Linked DNA regions of Lepisosteus oculatus. The protein of the gene in region 2 interacts with the protein of the main gene of each other region in a pairwise test. Links are inferred from orthologs where the notes say so. Each region holds a gene or a part of one and is shown on either strand. Other genes may lie near its edges. The genes, in order: cert1, rtn4a and syt16.

What was found.
Region 1: the proteins of rtn4a (region 2) and cert1 interact in binary tests that used the Homo sapiens proteins (3 or more experiments, as listed by UniProt). The link is inferred for Lepisosteus oculatus from reciprocal best matches to the Homo sapiens genes RTN4 and CERT1.
Region 3: the proteins of rtn4a (region 2) and syt16 interact in binary tests that used the Homo sapiens proteins (3 or more experiments, as listed by UniProt). The link is inferred for Lepisosteus oculatus from reciprocal best matches to the Homo sapiens genes RTN4 and SYT16.

Annotation. Positions count from the first base shown.
Region 1 is NC_090698.1:43,350,577-43,358,140, forward strand, and holds the start of cert1 (ceramide transfer protein), read left to right. Parts: upstream 1-4,548; 5' UTR 4,549-5,029; coding exon 5,030-5,125; intron 5,126-6,843; coding exon 6,844-6,978; intron 6,979-7,564. UniProt on the Homo sapiens protein: Shelters ceramides and diacylglycerol lipids inside its START domain and mediates the intracellular trafficking of ceramides and diacylglycerol lipids in a non-vesicular manner.
Region 2 is NC_090712.1:3,327,100-3,334,789, reverse strand, and holds the start of rtn4a (reticulon-4a), read left to right. Parts: upstream 1-4,650; 5' UTR 4,651-5,003; coding exon 5,004-5,451; intron 5,452-7,690. UniProt on the Homo sapiens protein: Required to induce the formation and stabilization of endoplasmic reticulum (ER) tubules. They regulate membrane morphogenesis in the ER by promoting tubular ER production.
Region 3 is NC_090703.1:7,514,818-7,522,548, forward strand, and holds the start of syt16 (synaptotagmin-16), read left to right. Parts: upstream 1-4,708; 5' UTR 4,709-7,731. UniProt on the Homo sapiens protein: May be involved in the trafficking and exocytosis of secretory vesicles in non-neuronal tissues. Is Ca(2+)-independent.

The DNA.
Region 1 (7,564 bases), on a different chromosome or scaffold from region 2:
AATGTACTCTGTTATTGTTATTATTTGGCATAAGTAGTAGTCGCATGTTAATAGTAGAATGGGAATCGATAATAGATGTAGTACATGTCCTTCACAAGAGAATGGCAGTCACATCTCATTTATATTTAAAAAATCTCAGTTTTGAAACCAGACTGATTTCAACTATCTTTTTTACACTTTAGTTTCTGAAGCGCCTTTAGAAGATGCTGAGAGCTGCTGAGATTAGATTGGGATTAGTTGGGGGTTCTCTCAATTCTCAGTATAATCCTACTGGGAGTTTGCTGTACTGTCAACGAGGGAGACAGCTCATTCAGAGTAGCTCGAAAGTGGCTTGGTCAGACGAGTCTGCCTAGGCTTCCTCATTCTCCCAGAGTGCAGTCACTGGGATCACAGCTACCAGTCAAGGTGTCCACAACACACCATAGGTGAATCGGTTGTGTAAAACAGAAATAACTGGCAATCCTAAATGTATTTAAAAAACAGTACTGCAGGAAAAGAGATTCACCATGAATTGGTCACGACAATTACATAGACAAAAATAAAATTAACCCAACCCTTGGACACTCAGATTGAGAAGCAATGAATTGATGAAAAGACAAAGAAAAGCCATCATTTTATTCTCTTAGCCCATCATCAAGGGAAATCCATCGTTATTCAGGTCAATTTTCAAACGGAGGACTAAAGCAACAGTCAAAGCAGGGAGTGTAAGGCAGGGTCATATTTATGTAATTTGATAAGTGCAAAAACAGTTGCATACAGCTACAGTACAAACACCAAAACACCAAATGCCAACAAAAACCTACAGTACTCACTTTCCACGTATTATTAATCTTTTTTTTTTTATTTGGGAATTATCAGCTAAATACTGGAAGGCTGTTTTCTTTCAACAACAGAAAATAGACTAATGTGCTATAAATATGACTCAAACTATTTGTCTGTTTGCTTATGTTCTGACAGTTTTGAATCTGACATCTCACATAATATTCTGTTTGTGTAACTTTGCATACTGTACATTCCTGTTTCCTGAGGAGAAAAACAGAAGGAAAACGTCCTGTTTGGTATGTGGTGAGTTGTCAGGCTAAAAACCATGCATTCTGTTTCAACATCCATTCTTGTAATACTGTATGGCAGGGGGGTTGCAAAACCTAATAAGTCACTAACAGCCAGTATCTATGCTTTTCTAAAGCACAAACTGAGTCAATTTCTAATCTGTACAGTGATCTTTTGTTTCAGTGCAACTACACACAAAAAAGCTCTTTGATTAATTATTAAAGAAGTGTACACTGTGCTATTCATTAAGCTTTAATTCTGTTTATACTGTAACATAGTGAAACAGATGTTGAACTATTTTGCAACAGGACAACCTTCATTATTTTAAGCCTGTTAAAACCATCAGTACTAAATCCAGCTTACATCTCAAGATTTTTAAATGAGTCTTACATAATAGGATTCTCTTTATACATTTCCAGTACATCGCTTGGATGCAAATCCTATAATTTCTGTAATAACGTTCATCAGAGATTGGTCTGTCAATAGCACAATTATATTAAAGCATTCCTTCTGCCTAGTGTAATCTAACTCTTGCTGCATCAAAGGCGACCAGAATCATGACTAGAATACCATTAATTAGCAAGTTTTTACTTTGCTTCCAAGTACTGCAACATTAATCAAGAGTTTATTAACTTGAAACACAAAGTGCACCCTTCAGAAACTCTTTAAGCCCCCTTTTTTCCCCAAAGCACTTTCCAGTAAAAAAAGAACCTTACCAGTCCTTCTGCACTATGACTATTTAAAAAATAGCTTTTTTAAATTTTAGCTTTGATTTGAATGAATTTATTTGAATCTATATAGCTAAACCCAATAGATCTTTTTTGTACTCTTATAGTATGAGACCATTAACCAATTTTCCATATGCTCAAATATTGTAACCCAAATATTGCAGTTCTGAAACTAAGCAGTCACTGGTATTAATTCCTACGTTTTTAGTAACTTTATTCTTAGAGGAACACAGCGATCCAATGGATAGTGCAGCAGACACAGGGCACAAGGCAGAACTACATTCCGAATGTGATGATAATCCATTACATGGCACACTCACACAGGTGTAATGGGGTTAGGTTAGTGATGCCAATTCATCTAGACAGAATATATTTGAACTGTGGGAGGAAACCCAGCAAAAACACAACCAGAGAGAACATGCAAATTCCGTATACACAGCAGCCAAGGCCAGACCCAAATCTATGAACCAAGAGCTATAAAACAGAAGCATAAAAGTCTATAACACAATGCTGCTCCATTGCTATAAATGTATAGTCTTTTATAGTTCATTTAACAAAGATGTTGTGTACCACACTCTACACTCAAAGGCTTCTTGTGCTTTGTTTAACAGATCAAGTTACAGTACAACACTTAATATTGTGAGACTGAGACTGTAACACTAGATGAAAGTGTCTTGTTTTTACCATTTTATATCAGATTTTACTAAACAACTGCAAAAAAAACCATTTCAGAATATGGAAATTACAATGAAATACAGATCTTTGAAAATTTTGCTAAGGCAAGAAAAAAAGTATCGTGGCGCTCTTGGGTTCACGGGAGTATGCGCTCTCGCCGCTGCAGCCTCAGGTCGGCCCCCCACCGTCGGGGACTCGAACCCGGGCCTCCGGCGTCACTCGACAGGGAGCCAGCCAGTTGAGCTAAAGGGAAATCTCCCTCAGAACTGCGCTGGTAAGTCGGATGGAACAACCTGCAATGGTGGCCGTATGCGTTACAGTATTAATCAAATGGTAAATTTTACCGTTTACCACATGGAAAGGTTTAGACTTTTTTTTGGAAAAATACTTACTATTTGAAAACTCTTTTCTCACAAGTATTCCACCAAGAATATCGATAGATCCACGACTCACTGTAGAAAAAAACATAAACTTGTTTGAAAAGACATGGCTCGCCCGTACATTGAAAGAGAGCATTATCAAGTTGCAAACGCGTTTTTCTCCTACATTATTCATAGACACGGTACTTAAAAAGTCAGTTAGCTATTATGAGCTGTTAAAAACAGTCACATCATTACAAATTAATATGGTTCTCTCTCTAAAGTGCAAACTATTAACCACCTACTCTGCTACAACATCAAAAGCATCTGCTAATGCAGTAATTTGGGTCTATATTAATAACAAATCTGCTATTTTAGCTTAATATTAATGATGGAATACGATCAATGCTTCAACAGTTCTTTTGGGGGGTATTATAGAAAAGCCCGTCTTAAGTGCAGTAATGGAGCTGTCTGGACTTTCATTTCAGCAGAGGTTTACAGTTCAAATTTTAACTGACAGCAACTTCGATCCTTCACGGCTGGAGCGAAAGTGTCAGTAAACGTGGAGACGTTGGACAAGATGCCACTATCAGTCGAGCCAGACATTATTTTACACTTTGTGTCATTTTACATTTTCGAAATTCAGAAAGGAGATTTTTTTCTTCCATCCGTGTAAACATCTTCAGTACTTAATTAAAACACTATCACAAAAGAAAACAAATGAAAAGATGACTTATTTACCTTGGTAAGCAACATTACGCTGTACAATTAGCAGCCTATGTTTTACATGTCTTACGTGTAAATACCCATACACTTTACTTATTATAGTTGTACATTCTGCTTCTCTTCAATTCAAATTTAAAACGTTTCTTTAAGCGCCAATAAAATACAATGTCAACTTCCTGAAATCCGGAGGCTGGCTGGCGCAGAGGCTTTCGCGTTTCCGCTACCACGCCTCCTCCTGAGCCAGTAACAGACATATTTGTTGAGGGCAGATAAATGTAGCGAAAAATGCACATGCCCTTTTTACAGTCTTCTATTTTTGCATTATTAGCTTTACATATTGAAAATTTTCATTTTAATCCTCCAGCTTTATTTAAATGATATTATCAATTTAAATAAAATCCCATTTGTAAAATAATATTAGGTATAAAATAACATAAAATAACGCCTTTCAGCAGTTTTCAGAATAATTTTATTTTAATTCATGCTAATACAATCTTCACCGGCAGTCAGTGCCAGTTTAATCTCTTAAACATATGGAAAAATTAGGCAGTCTGAATAAAACTATTGCGTTTTTTACGCTTGTCAGCAGCTCTGGGTTTCCGAAATGTGCTAAACCAATGCATTTGCAAAGTTTATCTCTTAATCCTGACAAACCAACATGTACGCTCTTATCATAGGCGTTGCGAGAGAATGCACTCTGGGGAGACTGTCCTTTCGGAAATGGGCAGAAATTAAGGCTAAGTGACGCCTACCACCCTGTACACAAGCGACAGAAATAGGGAGTAGCAGAGTGCGCATGAACACCCATTCATGCCTGTAAACTAATCCTCGAAAGTGTGAGAGAAGCAAAAACAGCCCTTGCCACTGCCCGCGCCCCAGTGACATCCTTGACAACCGTTGCCACTTAGACATCGATTCCCGAATGACACTTCCTAATAGGTTCACCTCCCCAGCCGGGATGGTTCCCGTGACGTCAGCTTCAGAGCCAGCGCCCCTCCACTGTCCGTGGCACGCGCAGCACACGCACGCTCAGGAGGGCAGGAGAGCGAGGGACGTCAGAAAAGATGGCGTCTGTTTAGGCCAGTCGGTCTCGCCCCCTTCTCACACTCAGCTCGTTTAACACAGGGCTCTGTCGAGGAGCGGAGAGAGGGATTTGCGCATTTAAACCAGTTCTCCCGTGGACTTGGACGAGTGTTGTTTTAGCTGCTGAAGTTGTGACTCTTTCCTCGCCGTTGTGCTTTTTCACAGCTTCAGTGAAACCGATGAAGGGGGCGGGTTTTGCCGAGAGGATCATTAATAAGTGTTATTAGTTTTTATCCAGGTGTATCAGCAGTCATCGCCTTTGACCAGTGTTGTCTCGCATTTACCGAAACCCCGTTCTCTTTTTTTCCCTTGGGATTTTTTTTTTGTCTGTCTGAGTTTCGCAGACTGTTTAGCACTTCTGTGATTCCCTCGTATTTGGATTTTGCGTTCTGTTATCGCCGAGACGCGATGTCGGACAATCAGAGCTGGAATTCCTCGGGGTCTGAGGAGGATTTGGAAACCGAATCCGGGCCGCCTGTTGAGCTCGGTGGGATCCTTAGCAAGGTGAGGCAGCGGGTGGGGGAGATCAAATCCCAACGCCAGGTTTGCACTCTAAAATTCCCGATAAATGGAGGAATGGTTTTGCGTTAGTGGCTCGGATGGCTAGGGTCCGTCCCCCGTCTCTTAAACGGCAAGGGGTTCGCCGTCGTCAATTTTCTGTTTCAGTTCAGACTTTGGCTTAGAGGGATTTCAAACTGCCGAAGAGATCGGTCAGAAAATAAAATCGTTTACGTTTGTTCTCGTGTCCTTCAATATCCGGCTTGCCGAAATCGACAGGCAGAAAATGATGTAAAAAGTGTCTTGACTTGTTTTAACTGTGTGAGTGCTTTGGAAATGGGGAGTCTTCCACGAAATGCTGTAATGGGATGTCATTGTCCATCTTTTTGTTTTCCCGAATACTTTGATTTAAACCACCCGATCGCTAGTAATTGCCTAGCCAAAAGCCTAAGCAGTTTTGATTGCAATCTTTTAGTCCGTATAATATTTTTCCTTATCCGCACATCATCACGTGCATCATCTGGTCTGTCAACCGCCCTGCAATCCGGAGAGCGAGCAGAGGCCAATGTATTAACGCACTTGGCCCATATGTGTGTTATAAATGATCGAATTCATGATCAGTGTGCTGCTTTTATGTGGCATTGGGAAAAAATAAACCTGTTTGCACCCGAAGCAGCAAGGACGTGAACATACGTTTTTTAGATTAAACTAGGGTTGGAAAAATTAAGACTTCTCAGTTCCTCCGCACATGATGTCTTGGATATGAATCTAATCTGCTTTTGCATGTTGGTGCGAAAACAGATTAGCCTTTTCGAGTAAAAGGGCTGCGCAGTTGTTGCTTTAGGGAGTTCGGTGAGAGAGCCCTGTAGTGTAATAAAAATGTTTGTTTTTTTTTAAAGTTCCGACACTTTCTGCTTCGAGGAGGATTGAGGAATTGTTACGGGTGGCGTTGAAAAGCAGCGAAATTGACAACCTGGTCTAAAAAAAAAAACACGTGATCCGACTGAATCGTAAACGCTTTCTTGACTTTGGATAAAAGGTTTATTTTCCTATCAGATTCTAACCTCCTGCTCTTGGATTTCACTGGGACACAGCTTAAATGTTTGTTTTAATCGAGTCTCACTATGTGTAGTATATCAAAGGCTGTTTTCAAGACCGGCGGTGATTAATCGTGCCAAAATCTCATCAGTGTGAAATGTGGACAAGTCAACAGCAAAACCGTTTTGTTTCCTATTTGACGCCCAGTCGTAACCTGTCACGCCTGCGGACCTTATCATAGAGCAGTAATGTGCAGATCATGATTCCGACCTCGTGTGTGTGTGACTGAACACCCTTAATTTCATTTGATTAGTCTCACAGGTATTGTCGACTACCATAAATTAAGCGTTGAGGTCAATGTTAATTTATTACAGTATTCTTTAACCCACAGGGACGGAGTTTAAACATGTGGCGCAGTGGAGAAAAGTACCCTAAATAAAGCAGCGACCAACAAACGTAATAAATATTAAGACGTATGGATTCATTTAATCGTTTAAATAAAATGCGTAGGTACCTGACATTATCCCCCTTCCTTATTGATCGGCGCATCGATAACTGCATTGACACTTTTCGAAACGTTCTGTTGCAAACTTGAAATTCGCAGCCCTAGTTTTTCAATAATAATAAAAAAACATTTAGATACAAAATGATTTTTTAAAGGATCCTTTGTGGGTTTTTTTCTTCAGTGGACCAATTACATCCATGGATGGCAGGATCGCTGGGTGGTTTTAAAAAACAACACCTTGAGCTACTACAAGTCCGAAGATGAGCGGGAATATGGCTGCAGGGGATCTCTGTGTCTCAGTAAGGCTGTCATCACGGTAAGGCCTTTTAAGGCTTTCTCTACTGCCTGCATTATTGTTTACTCTGATAGGCTTCTCCGCATAAAGTATGTCTTCAAGTCGGACATTTAGGGTTCTCCAGGTGTTTTAGTAAGGCATCTGACCTGATATGTGGTTTATACCTGTTTCAATAACACATTTTTTTTTTAGCGGCACAAAGGGATTCTGGTATGGTGGTAGCTGTCTTTTAAGGAACACTTAAGCTAGGAATGCAAGAAGTGCTTTCAGTTTGGTGTCCAGTTGTCTAGCATGTGAAGGACAATATACGCTGTCAATTTCAGTTCAAATTCTAGGAAAACAAATATTTAATCCCCTAGTCTCTCAAACTGTTTCCTGTAACTGCAAGTTTGTTTTTATTTCTATTACTATACATGTTTTGGAGACACTTTTTCACTTCAGAATTTCCATACTCGCTTTCTTCTCTGCAAAGTATTCAGATCCACTCCTTTTAGCCTTAAGCATTAAACTGCTGTGGTGCAAACAGCAGGGGGTTTTGATCCAAGCCTACATAATAACCTGTAGTCGTGCATGTGGCATTTCAGCAACAGGTTTTGCTGGTATGCAC
Region 2 (7,690 bases):
TCTCCAGCACCACCAGCCCTTTTCAATAGAGCAAACGCAACCTCTGAATAGAGAGACTGGCTGCTGTACGACAAGAGCAAGAGGACCAGATGGATTTAGTCTTAGGCTCAACTTACCTGACAGACGCTCTCAGCACGCAGAGCAAAAGTTGCACCCGCTCTCACCCACTGAAATGCCCAACCAGGCGTCATCCACATGGCCGAGCAAGTTCCTAAGCTCTGGGCCTCGTTACGCGTCAAAACACAGCACAGTGACTCTAAGCACTGTAAACACTCTGGATAGGTTACGCCCAAAAACCAAGCCAAGCTGAACTGCCAATGTCCCTGAAGGGACTTTAACATAACAAAAAATAATTCCCAGCCTAGTCTCCCTGCGCTTGTGTAAAACGACATTGATAAGGGTGTGGAATAGACTCTAATATGAAAAAATGGACTGAGCCGGTAGAATAAGACAGCTTAGTTAAGAATGGAGAGTCGTCCTGGTGGGCGCTCAGTGGTGGATGAAGTGGGTGTGCTCTGATATGCAACGTGTATAAGGATCCTTGGAGATGAAAAGCGATTCATGAAATGCAATTAATGAAAGGGCTACGGTACATGGTGATTATTGACATGGGAGATGATCGATAGATGGATGACTGATAGATCTGGGTGAGGTGGTGGTGAGCCGCTCTTTGCTAGGTGCATCAGTACCATGAACTCCTGACCATAACACTCCCATTGCCTTTCAAGATATCTGCCATGTTATTGACTCTGATAACCAATGAAAAGCTGAAGCAGTTCAATTGTTCAGCCAAGGACCCCTGGAAGGATGAACCCCATTCCAGTCCTGGTCAGTATGGTTCAAAAATGTCTTATTTGTTTTCAGAGTTAAGGGATAGGATGGGCGTGTCTTTGAGCTTTAGCAAATAACTGTAGTAACATTTGGAATCATATACATGCAGAAATAAATATTATTAAAAGGACAAAACTGAAAAGAATCAGCTACATAAATGATCTTGTCCTCCACTCACTCCAGAAGTGTTTGATGTTGGAGTTGTCACGCCCTCTGTAGCCAGAGGGCGCTCCTTCTCTGTCCTGTCCCTAGTTTCTGGTCTGCTGTCCTTCCGGTCCCTCTCTTTCCCTTGGGCTATATTTTTCCGGGTCTTGCACTCTGCCGGGGCTCAGCATTGATGTTCGGATGTCCTGAGACCCGCCTAGCACCAGGTCGCCCCACGTCCGCTACCTGAGGGCATAGGTTTCTATACGGCATTCCTGAACTCTTTGCACTACGAGCACGGGCCTTTTTCCCGTCTCGCCGCTACGCAAATGGATCTTTTTCCGCTCTCCTGCTGCCCTCGGGTAGCCCCTTTGGACGTCCGTGACAGGAGTCCTGTGACTCAACACCACAACACCACAGATATCTACAGAGCTCTTAGCCTTTCATATCTGTGTTACGGGGCTGGAATGCTTCTGTGATTGGTTCACTGCTGCTTTTGGAAATAAAGGTGTCGGAGGGAGAGATTTTTGCACACGAGACATGTAAAACAAGACATTAAGAGTTAAGAGTTTTAATGCTGTAAATGCTGTAAGGTGAAGCTGGCATGAGCTTTGATGAGGCAGTATTGTAGTAAGTAGTTAAAACAACTCACACCTGAAGAAGGCTTCACATCCAAAACATTGTGTTTTTTTTCTTCTCTTTTCAGCAGGGAATAAACCTATTACTTGTTCCCTTGCAGCCTACGCATGCTGACGCAGCTCCCCACCTGAACTACTGTAAAAACAACGTACTTGTAAGCTTAAGCCTTATTGCCACATGTTGTTTTAAGACGTGTATGTCTCTCTAATTTATTTTTACTTCCACTGTATCTTTACTTGGAGATTTTGTTCTTCGGCCAAAGTCCTTCTTGGAAACTGGTTAGATCAGCAACTGGGCCCACTGCTCATATCCAGAACAAGCAAACTGGAACCCAGCGACAGTGGTCACTGTCTATTGTGGAAAGGCCATGGAGCTGTGTGTGGCACAGAGTAAGGAGATAAAAGGAATGATTAAACACAAACTGGGGCTGCTGGATAAAGGTGTTGATTGGTTTTAAACTGCTGGCAGAAAGCAATCAGTTTGAATTACTGGATTGGGGAACCGGATATCTGTTAAGCACATGTGCGGCAGAGATACACAGGACAGATGTGTGTGTAACTCAGCCAGCATGCACTGTATGTGGTGCAACAGTCTAGGGTGGGATAATGGGAAGTTGTGGTCATATGTACACAGATAGGGCAACTTTCACACTCTTCTGGGGAGAGACTGCAGAGGACGGAACAGAGAATCACGCAAAACAAAGCCCCCAAGATGGAGGGGTAGTTCAGTGCATCTCTCAACGTTGCAGTACGTACTGTCAGCAGGGGCTCTATCTCTTATAGAGTCGAAAGATCTGAGCCCTAAAAATAGCCCTGGTGCCTCAGTTTAGACCGCAGCTATTTCTGTTACAATACGAGAAACAGCCTGTTGCGGGGGAAAGGGACTTGGCTTTCGAAATGCCTCGTAGTCCCAGTATTGGACCAGCACAGAGGTGACAGAGGTAACCACAGGGCACGAGTCTTTGTATGTCACATTACGATAAACAATACAGTATATCTGCACAAACTGTAGAGGTGGATGTCTGCCCCGTGCATCATCAAAACATGGGAAGAGTTAATGTAATAATGTTAATGTTGCTTTATTAGCCCTATACAATTTCTTGCATTAGGAATTCGGCTTTTCACATACCCCAGCTTGCTCTCCATGAGACACAGACACATATACAGGGAGAGAAGCTTGGGATCAGAGCACAGGGTCTGCCATTGTACAGCGTCCCTGGAGCAGTTGGGGTTAAGGGCCTTGCTCAGGGGACAACAGAGTAGGATTCCTCTGCCGGCTGCAGGATTTGAACCGGCAACCTTCCAGTCACAGGCACAGATCCTTAGCCTTCGCTCCGCCCGTTACTTGTTACTAATGAGAGGAGGCCTTTCAGCCCATCTAGATTGTTTGTAATAATAAACTCCTTAAACTTATATAGCGCTTTTCTGGACTCTACACTCAAAGTGCTTTACAGGTAATGGGGATCCCCTCCACCACCACCAGTGTGCAGCCATAGTGCACCAGTACACTCCCCACACACCAGCTCTCAGTGGGGAGGAGAGCAGAGTGATGAAGCCAGTTCAGAGATGGGGGTTAGGAGATCATGACTGGTAAAGGTCAGGGGGAACTTTGGCCAGGACACTGGGGTAACACCCCTACTCTTTTCAAGAAACACCCTGGATCTCGTCCAGTTGTCTCTTTAAGACCTCTGGGGTATCAGCTTCAACAACAGGGCTGGCTAGCTTGTTCCGGGCTCCCACAACCCCATTGTGTCTGTTTGTGTTCAAGCTCAGGTGTTGGTGAGTTTCAGTGCTGGCGTCTTCCTATCCAAACAGCACAGACTCGCAGGGCCCATCGTACAGCAGAGAAAAGACTGGCCTCGAGCCACTTTACAAAGAGGAACGCGCACTGAAAGAGCACATGTCTGCAGGCACAGCAGAGAAAATGAATGGCTGAAAACAAAAAAAAGGGGGTTGTATCGGCAGCTGTCAGTAAAATTAACCCAAACGCAGAGAGGCAAAGAGAGATGAATTAAAAATGAAAGCTATTGTTAATGGCTCATTCATTTGCCAATGTGTCAGGCTTCACTGCTGCTGTTTACGTCTCAGTATAATGGAGACCCAGGCCAAGTTTGTATTGTAAATAGCTGAAGAGCAAGGCAGCTCTTACAACTGTAACTGCAGACATCTGCAGTGTGTCACAATCAGCGAGGACTCACGTGGATTCTTTCTCAGCTCTCCGAATTGAAAAACAGTGGGCATTGCCCACACCAAAAGGCCAGGAACTGACCCACAGGAACATACAGATTTTCTTAATCACCTAAATATTTAACGAGCTCCCTTTTGTAAACTTGAAGGGACACAGCTGTGTGTCAGCTCTCATAATTCTGGCTCTTTTTTTCGGAGTCATCCAGTAATTAGATGAGCTGATGTAACAGAGGGGAAGTCTATGAGGTCACCGAGTGCAGTCAAGGTGACCAATACTATACAGAAATACCTCTTTTGGGATGACGGTAAAAAAAAAGCTATAATACGTTATAGCTTGTTATAACGACTGGAATGTTATAATACGACTGGAATTCATTTATCTTCTCTTCCAAGGTTTGAATACGTCTTTACTACACGGTCTGTCTCTCACTGCTGCTTTATCAGCTACAATAACTGGAACATCTCCTTTTTATGGCGCACTGACAATATCGCCAGAGCCTTTATCGATCACAGCCTACACGCAGGACTGTATATCGTTAATTATTTACTTTAACAGCGAAGGTTAGGCCCGTGAAACCTGCCAGTGGTGGTACCGGCGTTTTATAACATCTTGGGGAAAAAAATGCACGCTTTTCGCTACAAGAAATGTTGCAGATAACTTTCGATCTGCTTTGTCACACTTTTCACGTATCCTCGTCTTCCGTGGTTACAGCCGCGTTACTAAGCAAAACTCCCAACGACACCGGAGATTGAAACCGCTGCAGATTGGTGGGAGCCGGGGGATGGGCGTGGTCCTTTGTTCGGCCCTCACCTTCGTGGCGGGGCGGTAGAAAAATAGTTGGGAGGGGGGAGGGAGGAAGAGCCGGGTTGGTCGGGGCGGACGTCAGTCAACCGAGATCGGCGCGCTGATTGGCCGAGGTCCGCTGAAGGGCTCCTCCGGGCACCGCAGTGTGGCGCGTTGCGCGTGCGAGAGGCTCCCTGTTCTGTCCTACGCTCTCGTGGCCGTGGCGCACTTGTTCAGTTCATCTCCGCCGGAAGGCAGCGACTAGCCAGCCCAGCGCAGCTACTCGGGGGGGGAGAGAGAGAGAGAGAAAAAAAAGGAGCACTTTCACTAGAAAGGTGTGTGTGTGGGGGGGAAAATCTTGGGTACACACCTTATAAAGAAGGGCTACACAGGGGGCGACTCCGGACACGAAAGAGGAAATGGAAGACGCGCAGCACATCTCGTCCACGACGCCCGGCGTCGATGAACTCCGCAAACTTCAGGGGGACCCCGACAAGATGGACGAGAGCAAGTTGTACGACGAAGCCGCCGGCTATCTGTTGCAGGAGAGCGGCGGCGGCTCGCCCAGGCCGCTGGCCGACGACGATATCCTCGACCTGGCCGGCGGCGCCCGGGATGCTCTCCTCCGGCACCGCTCCGCCACCCCGCCGGGGACCGGGGACCCGGACAGGGACCTCTACTCGGAGTTTGCCCCCGCGGCCGAGCCCGGCGATCTGCTGACGGGGATGGGCGGCTTCGGGGCGCCCTCGGTGAAGCAGGCGGCCGATAGCCCCCCGAAACCGGAGCCGCCCAGAGCCGCCCCGCGGAGCCCGGCCAGCGACCCCTCTCCCGCCTCCTCCTCCTCCTCCTCGGCGGCCTCCTCCCCAGGTGAGCACCGGTGCCCCTTTCGGAGGAAAAAGACAGTTTAATTTAGGCGTGTCTGAAGCGGGTGGGTACTTCACCCGGCCCACGGCCCCTGGGGGGGCCGCACTTCTGTCTCGCGGAAGTTGGGGCGCTAGACAATGGCCGTGGCTGCGCCCGAGGAGCCGGGAGCCTTTGTCGCGTGTGTGTTTGTGTTCCTGTATTATTGCACAAATAAAGCACAACTTCAATGCCGCGTTCCCGAGGCGGGGGGTGGCCCGGAGAAGCGCGGTCCGATGACTCTCACGCCGGTGCTGCCCACCTGTGTCGCCCCGGCGAGACGCGGGGGATCCGGGGGACCCGCAGCCGCTAACGGCTCCTTCTCAAACGGAAACGCAGTGCGCGGCTGAGAGAGATGAGATAGTTGTTTGCCCCTTTTGCACAGTATTTTAGGATCGCGTCCTGTGTGTGTCTGGGGGGGGTGGTAGTTCGTTTTGGGGTTGTTTTGGGGGGGTGAATTGTCCCTGAGTCAGCAGCCATTTTTCTCCAGCTCCTGGGTGGTCGAGATGTAATCAGGGGGTCGGGATAAGGACCTGTCTGTGTCTTGTCTGTGTGTGTTTTAGTTGCTATGGCGTAGTCCCATACCGGGGAGAGCTTGCACAGACCGTCGCGGCCGTCAAAAGATGTTTTTTTGTAATTCTTTTGCTGACGACGGGACTCCCCCTCCCTCCTGACTGATGCGCTATAATGCCGGCCAGGCTCTTGTCTCGGCGAGGCGGCTGGCTGGCTGCACTCGGACCCGACATCCCGATCCGGTTCGGGTCCGGTGTTCCGGGGTGGATCGACCGATGGGCGTGGGTCCGACAGGTGCTGGGAGTGAGATGGCCCGAGCAGACAGCCCCCCCGGGGGGGAGGGGGCGCAGATTTGGCCAGCTGTAGCCCTGGGGACGCTGTTTGGGACCCGACCCCCCCGCTGATCTGTGTGTGAAGTGATTAAGCTGCTGGCTTTTCTGGGGGGGGTGAGAGAGGTGTAGCGCAGTATCTGGGGGGGAGGCGACAGCAGGCGCACAGGTCAGGAGGCCCTGGTGGTGGGCCGGGCTGGGCTTGCTCCGACGCCGAGCAGACTGCAGCGCCAGTCTGCGCCCACGGCCTTGGAGAGGCGGGTGCGGTGTGTCTGCAACAAAATGATCTCCGACAGGAAAGTAGTCTCCATACGGAAACAGCGGACGAGCGGCCAGACAGAAATGAGAATCCCGCACATGTTCTTTAAGGGAAAGAAAGACCTCATCATATCATCCAGGCGAAACCTGTGGCTTCTTGATATCCGCGCTGTACCCCGCGCCGGGGAGGGGTACCTCCGGCGCCGGCTTTGTTTTAGTGGGTGATGTCATGCTCTGCGGCCGACAGGGGCCGTAATATACGATCCCACAGATAAGCACATGCTCGGCTACTCCTTATTTGTTTAATTATTTACAATAAAATACCTCTCGTTCTTTCAATTGACACACCGCCCTATGCGTCTAAACAATCGTATTAAAAAAAAAAGTGCAATCATAGGGATATGAATTAGACTTTCTCCAAGGCAGGCAGATAGCCACAGTATTCTGTCTCCAGTGCTTCTCAGGGTATTGTTTTAAAGCCCAGGGGATTTGGCCTTGATCTGTTTATCTTCCATAATCCCTTTGTACTGTAGCTGCTGATGCATATGTACCTACACCAGTTTCACATGCTGCACATGTTTTCTTCAGCTCCTTCCAATGTAGGACTTCTGTTCATGCAGGCTCGTTTACAAGGCATTCATGTAATATGTTCTGTAAGCATGTTACACGTTTTTTTTCCAATTAAACTGCTTCTCCTCCTCTACCCAAATTTCGGGTTTAGAAGAGAGACTTTGCTCTTATGTGCTTTTTTGGGCCAGATTTAGGAGCTTCATGAAAATGCCGTACCTAGCTCAACAGGACACAGAAAACCCATTTGGACAAATTCAGTTAAAAATGGCGTTTCATGTTTTATACTTTATATAATAATGTCGAGACGGTTGGTTCTGAAGGCCTGTGGGTGATGTTGCCTAGCCAGTTCAGGGAAAAGGGTTAATTCTCAATAACTTTGCCACCTTGATTGGCTTTTCAGAGGTCATGCCATTTAGCAGTTTGTTGTGTTTACTGGGTTTCTAAGGACCAAACTAATATAATCATCAGCTGCAGACCCTCAGATTATCTGAGTGCATGTAGCGTGACTGTGAGTCACTATTGCCACAGCAGCTGTG
Region 3 (7,731 bases), on a different chromosome or scaffold from region 2:
TATGCTTACAGGTCTACCTGTATAGCTATGATATAAGCTGTACAGCTATAATATCACAATATAATACCATCCAACTCACCAACAGCATGCTTCACAGATGTCAGATCACATCTGTAAAACACAAGATGAAACATGCATTTGTGCTTTAGTGAGGTTTATAACAAGGATTCCCAGTACCCCAGGGAATCTGAGCGATGTAGAGAGGGAGTGAGCTAGGCGTTTAATGTTTTGTCCTTTTAGATTATTTACCTTTGGAGGGGCTTTTCAACAGTTTTTACTCCGGAAGTGTTTAAAGGTTTGAAAATGTTTTGTTTTTTTTCACTCAATTTCAGAAAATGAGCCGATGTGTTTTTTAAGACCACCGCGTGAAATCCATATATTGAACCACTGAGCATTCCTCTTTCAAAATCACCCCTCTCTCCCGGCCACTCCATCCCTCCTCTCACCTCCCCCTCTGCAAGCCCTGCGTGAGGGCAGAGCTGTCCAGCACTGACAGTCAGTCCTGCTAGACTGTACACTCCCTTGTGCTCCCTGGGTCTTCAACACTTCCGTGGCTCATCAGCTGCTGCAGGGCCTTTGGCTTTTTTTCGCTCTGTGCTCCCAGAGTACCCCTGATTCTTTCTGTGAAGGCCTCTTGTCCTCTCCCCATGTGGCCGGATGAAAGACAGCGGGAGCAGGAGCTGCACCACTCCCGTGCCCGTGGTTCTGCTGTTGCTAGGGCCATGCACTTCTCCAGTTGCCAGGTAATTAGGTGTATTCTTGGCCGCCCAAGGTCCTTGCCTTTACGAGAGTGTAAATGGACGGAAAAAGCCTCTTTGGGTGATGTCAGTCTAATGAAGCGCATGTGCGTGTTTGAGCTGTCGGTCGTGAATAACCAGTGGCAAAGAAATAGGAGCAACACTTCTACGCCGGGGTTTCTTGCAAAGTAGCCAACCCAAACCAGTAGTGAAGCAGTGGGATTGTTTATGCGGCATGTCCACCACCATCCATATCCGCACACAGATCATTGTTGTGCTATAATAGATGTTCCATCACAGCCACGAGTCCTCAAGGCTGTGCTGTTAGTAATAGAATGGGAACTGGCTTCGTAGTCACAGGTAATGACATGTATGATAAGGGAATAAAGTAAGAAGGCAGCGGGGGCGCACCTCATCCTAGCCAGAGGTCTGCGCTGGTCTATAAGAGGACAGCCAGGACAGCCAGAGGGGAAGGTGTTTGCAGATAAAAGGAACAGTGATGAGCACAGGGGCAAGGAGGTCCTCACTTATTATTTTCTGTCACCTAGTATGTGAATCCCCCCACCTCCTCTCAGGGCCTGGTGTTGCCACTGGCGGGGCCTGCCTCTCTCCTCAGGGCCTGCCTGAAAGCCGCACACCAGCCTCTCCTCCTTGTCCAGCCTCTAAGCTCTCACCCTGCCGCACAAGACTTCCGGGTGCCATGGCAACATAGACCTCTCCTTTTCAGCGGGAATGATGGAGACATTGCCTTTTAAGCACTCTGTGCGGAAGAAGAGGCCGGTTACCAGGGAAACTGACCACTGTGCCTTCCTCGGGAGGGGGGAGGCCTTGTGCAAACCTCTGGCTCTCACAGGCACTGGCAAAAATAGCAGCCTGACATTTCAAGAACTCGAGGCCATGTACCCGAGCACTGTCCCCGCACGAAAACAAAGGGGTGACTGACTCCCAGCAAATTACATTTCCCAAACACCTTGAAAATGAATGTCTTGTGCAGAATATAATTCCCCAAAAGAACCTGCGTTTAGTTTTTGAGAGGAGAAAGTACAGGTAGTGTAAATGAAATCCCTGATTTAATTAGCATTGCTAAGTTTGATGTGGCCCAGCTTTGCAGGCGTGGGTGAAATCTGATGCAGTTTCATGGATATGCAGGGACAAAGGGAGAGATTCAAGGATACCTTTTTAACAGGAAGAATAGATTTTGTTTTGGCTTTTCAATTCTCAGTAAATTATGTAACATTCCAAATTAATAACATGCTTTTTTTGTGCAGGTCTATACAATGCACCCTGGGACCAGCCCCTGTCCTTTCTGTGCTGCGAGGTTAACGTGGCTCAGCTTGGGTCTGCGCTGTGAGGTGCAGCCGGCACACACCTACCACACCTGCCACTGAGCCAGGACCTTCTGCGGTGTCTGTTAATCACAGAGCAAACAGCATTCCAGCACAGCCCATACAGAGGCTGGTTACAGCCCGCAACTCTCTGGGCTCCTGATCCCAAAAGTCTACAAGGGTGCAGTTCCCACTGGGGCTTGTCTTTCTTCAAAGCTGGAGATGTAGCGCACAGTAGGAAGTGAAGGTTGTTTTGTCCTTTTTCTTTTAGAGGAAAACTTTTAAGCACACGGGCCATTTGTATGAGTTAGCATAAACCCCTAAGGACTGGCCAGACCTGCTTTTCCAGCCCTGCGAGTTGGAGGGAGAAACGGTATGTGGGATATTTCGGCGTCTGTTAGAGGCAACTGCTGTCTTCAGAGAATTTAGTCTTCTAGGTGATTCGGCAGATGGGACGTTGCAGAGGACCTTGTGGCTTCTTTGGTACAGACCTGGAATTCAGCAAAACAGCACTTGCACAGGAAAGTGCAGAGAAAGGTGGGATTGTTTGATGTTGGCTGTGAACGGCTGTCCTCTCTGTGTTGCTCCTGCTCTCCCTTTTGTAATCAGAGGTTGCTGTAGCTGAAGAGACGGCGACAGAGAGATACACCGCTATTCCAACAGTTTGGCAGTGTTCTGTAAATGTGTGCTGCTCACTTTGAGACCTGTTGCAACAGGAGCAGTGATGGTTCATTCTAGGATTGTTCTGGTGAGGACTTGAAAGTTTTGAGTTACTCCTGCATCCTACTAGCTCTCATGTAGTAACTATAGATGTTAGGAATAAATATGATAATAAAATATGTTAGAAAATGTGTTAAATATGTTAGGAACTTTAATTACTACACCTGAGAAAATAAAGATATCATTTGACACATCTCCGACGATAATTATTATACTATTCGGCTTAAGCACAGTATCATGCTTAACATCTGTGAAAGTCTGATGTACCTGTCTGGACTTCATAAGTGTCTAGATTTGCTCATATTTCTTGTCAGCTTGCGGAAGAAAATTAAACAAGAATAGAATGTGTACTGAGGGAGGATTGTGTGCGTGGTGCTATGTCAATAGAATGACAAATTGACAGTCTGAAATCCTTTGAAACGGAACAGAGGCAGTTTTACAGTAACAACGTTCAGGAATTATTGATGGCGGTTCTGTTATTTCTCGAACAAAGCCACTGTGGATCAGTATAAAGAGAGACCTTGGCTTATTGTATCTGTCAGGGCTAAAGCGCTGTCAGAAAATGCCATGGGAATGGAATAAAGAGAAACTGGAAGGAGAATGGAAGGGAGGGACTGGATCCTGTGCCTTTCAGGCAGTCTCTCCTTCTGTGGCGAGAGATGAGCGTTGTGAGTAGGCAGGACCGCTTCAGTCGAGAATGGCAATCGGTGTCAGCGCACACAAAACTACACAACACCCCCACTCCCTGCCCGCCAATCAAGATATCTTCCCACACGACACTGGCACAAAGACTCTGGTAAATGTCGTGAAGCGTCTGAGAGGTGTTTGAATGCATAATGCGCTCGCCCTGCGTTTGTTCTCAGCAAGCCCTCATCTGGGGAGCGTGCTGCGGCAACGGGGAAGAGCACAGTTGCTCCTCTTTGATGTTTCCAGCAGCCTCTGAAAATTCCCCTTCAGGGGGCGAGCGCTCACTGAAGACACCCGCTCCAGTGCTGGGTCCAAGACGTCTTCTCTCCCGAAGACATTCGCTCACAGTCTTGTGTACCTTGTTGAAGAGCCTGGTTGGTTCATGAGACCTCTGAGCAGTACATCGACAGTTTTCTTTGACTCTCATCCTCAGTCTTCCCATCCATTCACTTTCATCTGCTACAGAAAGATTGCTCCTTACCTCAGAAGATACAGAGTCTGAGCCGGTGACCTTATTGCTGAGTTGCCTGTCCTGTAAAGAACCTCTTTATCGAGGAGTCTGTCTTCCTGTCAGATTTGGGTGTTCTGCCTGACCGCTATCATGTCAGACTGAAAGATTTGATGTGGTGCTGGGTGGAGAAATATGACATCTGATTTCATTTTCTGCCTTGCAGGCTCTTTAGGCTTTGCGGCAGACAGGGCTATTCAAGTTGCTATGTAGATGTACAATGAATGCACTTCAATGTGCAAAAATGAGCCCAGTGTTTGTGCCTCCCATTTGACCAAGTACTCTGTTTGAACAATGAAACATGGGCTAGAGGGAACGAGTGAAAACTATGTGGAAGTGAATTTATGATTGAAAACAGGAGGCACATCTTTATCCAAAGGATTGTGAGATGAACAAGCTGCCCATGTTGTTTCCTTCAAGAAACCAGAGAGACCCTTGAATCAGTGACCTCCCATACAGGCTTTATGGGCTGAATGGCCTCTCGAGAGCATTTCTCTCCTCGCCTGTTCTGAAGTGCTGTTCTGTGTGTCTGTTTGTCTGTAGTCACACCTGAGGCCATTGGTTTCCTGTCTGCGGTGGGCGTCTTCATCGTGGTGCTGGCTGTGCTCTTCCTCTTCATCAGTAAGAAGCTCTGTTTCCAGAGGATCGGCGGCCTGCCCTGCCTGGAACACCGCAGGAAAAAGAAACGCTCCCGAGAGAAAGCAGGGATTCACGAGGGTCTGGGTAAGAGGCCGTCGGGTCTGCTAGGGGTCTGTGTGTGTCATTGTCAGGCTGACTGGCAGACTGTCTCCCTCACTGTGTTCTGGTCTGCTTCCTGTGAAAATCACTGCAAAGTCACTGAACTGCAGACTGAAGCCTGTTAGTAGAAATATGTCTTTTTAAATTGTTTTCTTCATTCTCGAATTACCTCTCACTCCAGTCATGTTTGCTGTGACTTTGAAGAACACATAGAACAAAAAATAAATCACAGATCTCCGCGTACTGCTTTTGGGCTACATACAAGAATGGGAGTTTCAGAATAATTTAATTTTCTCTCTATTCAGAGGACAGTATTTCCGCTTCTACTGTTTTAACAGCTCAGAGACGCACACTTTGGAGGATACTGTGCCTCAGTGGATATTGTGGTATGTTTTGGAACCTCGCTCCTGTATCAGTGTAATAATCAATAATAATAATAATCAATCTTCTCTCCCTCTCTGAGCAAGAGCACCTCCCTGACCGATAGCTGTTATTATTGCCAGGCCATTGAAAATAAGGTTGATTATTTGTTAAAACAATTTTATTTTTCCAAGGAGTTTTTAAGAGTTCTCAGGAGTGTGGTTCAATTTTTTCTTGTGTTGCTACAAATGTACACCTGTCCCGATGAGGTGAATTATCAAAGACAAGTGAGCCCTTGTTAGAGTCTGAAAATGATTGCCACGCTGACCAGAGTTTCATTCTGTGTGAGGGAATCCCCTGGCCTTGTTGACTGCATCCTACAGTCAAAGAGTCAACCAGTTGGTTCCTTTTTGGCATGACTAAAAATGACTGGGACCTTGCCCTTGGTCTCCTGTGAGGAAGACAACTGCAGTATTTTACTGGGGCTCAATTCTTCTGTTAACTGCATTGTATAATGCTTCACAATCACAGAGCACCCTCTTCTGGGCTTGCAAATGTGGTCGCTGCTATCCACCAGTGTATTAAGCGACTATAGTCCCCTAGATAGCGTAATAGGGTTGTTGGTCTTGATTGCATAGTTGGGGGTTATGTTCATTACTAACTGCAGCTGTGACATTCCCATCCTCCCCCCTGACAAGCCTGTGAACACTGTCGTCTGATGCTCTTCATCAGTGCGTGCCTTCCCACAATGCATCTGCTCACTTCCTGACAGTACAGAACTGAACAACAGTTGCCGCGTGGTGAAAGGAGGCATTGTGGTTGGCGTTGCGGCCTCACAGCTTTTGGATTCGGGGTTTTTGTGTGGAATTGGCATGTTTGACTCTGCATAGGCTTTCTCCCACCTTCCAAAAACATGTTGACGAGGTTAATTGATGTCTTTACATTTTTCCTCCGTGCTCGTGTGTGTGTGTGTCTCCTGTGCCGCACTGGTGTCTTGTTCAGGGTGCAGCCCTGCCTGGTGTCCTCGTCTCCAGGAGATTGTGATCTTAGCCAGTCCTGGAGTCCTGCAGATGAGAGCGGTGCTCTGCTGCAACCAACTTTCTGGTCTTGTGTTTGTCTAACAGACAATAGAGAATTTAGCTTCTGAAGAAGGAAGGTGGAGCAATCAAATAGGATAAAGTGAGGTATTACCAACCAGGTGACTAGATCAACCTGTTGTACCATCTGTTTAAATAGCAAGGCTTGTGAACATTATTATCATATACAAGCTTATATGAGATCAAAGAGCCACACTCAACACAATTATCCATTAAGGTTAGGCTGAGGAATTATTTCACATGCCAGTCACGCTCACACAATATTAGTAAAGAAGTGAATGAGGCACATCTTCATTGGCCATTACATGATCACATTTTTTTTCTAAGTAAATAGTCGCACCTGCACAGTACATGTGTGTTGACTTTAGTTTTCCAAAAGTTCTTGAATTTAGAGGCATTGTCAGTCATTTTTCCAAGAGATCTTGCCTTGAAAATGAAATAATAATCACGGGAGGCAGCCAGTCCACTGTCTCTTTTGCTGTGTTTGGACTATGGTTTAAACGGTAAGATTGAATGAATATAAGAACTGTGCAAACGCTTGACAGTGTGAGGTAATGGTGCCAATATCTGCTGTGCCCGGCCAGGCGACAGATAAGAGATTACAAAAGAGAGGAGGCTCTCGAACAATGTTGAAATACAGTCATACAAGAGCATTATGCAGATGTAACATTGCTTCCCTTTATTTGAATTCGGCACATTTTTCTTCACAATACGCCTCTGAGTCACTGCCCTGCTTGCTCTCCTGTTCCTGTGCCGCCCACCACAGGCCAGCAGTGATGTCACATGGCCAGGAGCTCAGTGCACAACGCGCTGGGTGAGAGCAAACTCCCTCTCTGAGGAACAGAGCGGTGAACCTGCAAAGGGCTTTCAGCGCAGTTTAAACCCAATTAAGGCTGCGATAATGGGCACTTCCCACCCGCTGAGTGTGGGTGAGTCCGAGTGTGTTTGTGTTACCTGGCGATGTGGAGGAGTGCAGTGCGCAGCAGGGCTTGGGTCAGGAGATTGTTTAATGAGCGCTGCGAGAGAAGTGGGAGCAGGGCAGCCTGGGAAATGGAAGCACTCTCGGGCAATTCTGCCGGCTGCCAGCTGTTAGCCGCACAGGCCAAAACTCCACATGGGGCGCCGTGGAGCAGAGTTTTCAGAACTGAGACACATGCTATTAATTTAGAACAGAAGACAGGAAGAAAGGTTCTAAACAAGAGGCAGCCCTTTGTCCCAATCATAACTTATTTGGTTACTAGTAGCTGAGTGATATATAAAGCCAAGTGCATACCTGAATGAATTTGTTGGATTATTCCCAAACCTCTCATTTATCAATGCTAGATTCCATGATCATTTCACTTGTATGGTATAGAGTAGAATTATATAGTAGTAATGATTGAAGCTTCTTTAAAAGGGTTAGAATGGGGCTGTAGTTCAAAGATTGCTTTACCCATCCACTCCTGTGTTGCATGTTTGGAAGTAATGTAGATGTTGCAGCCTGCAGTGACTCTATTCTCAGTGCACGTCCCGTGTCTCAGTCTGAGCCTGCTGGCGTTCAGTCACCTGGCTCAGTAACC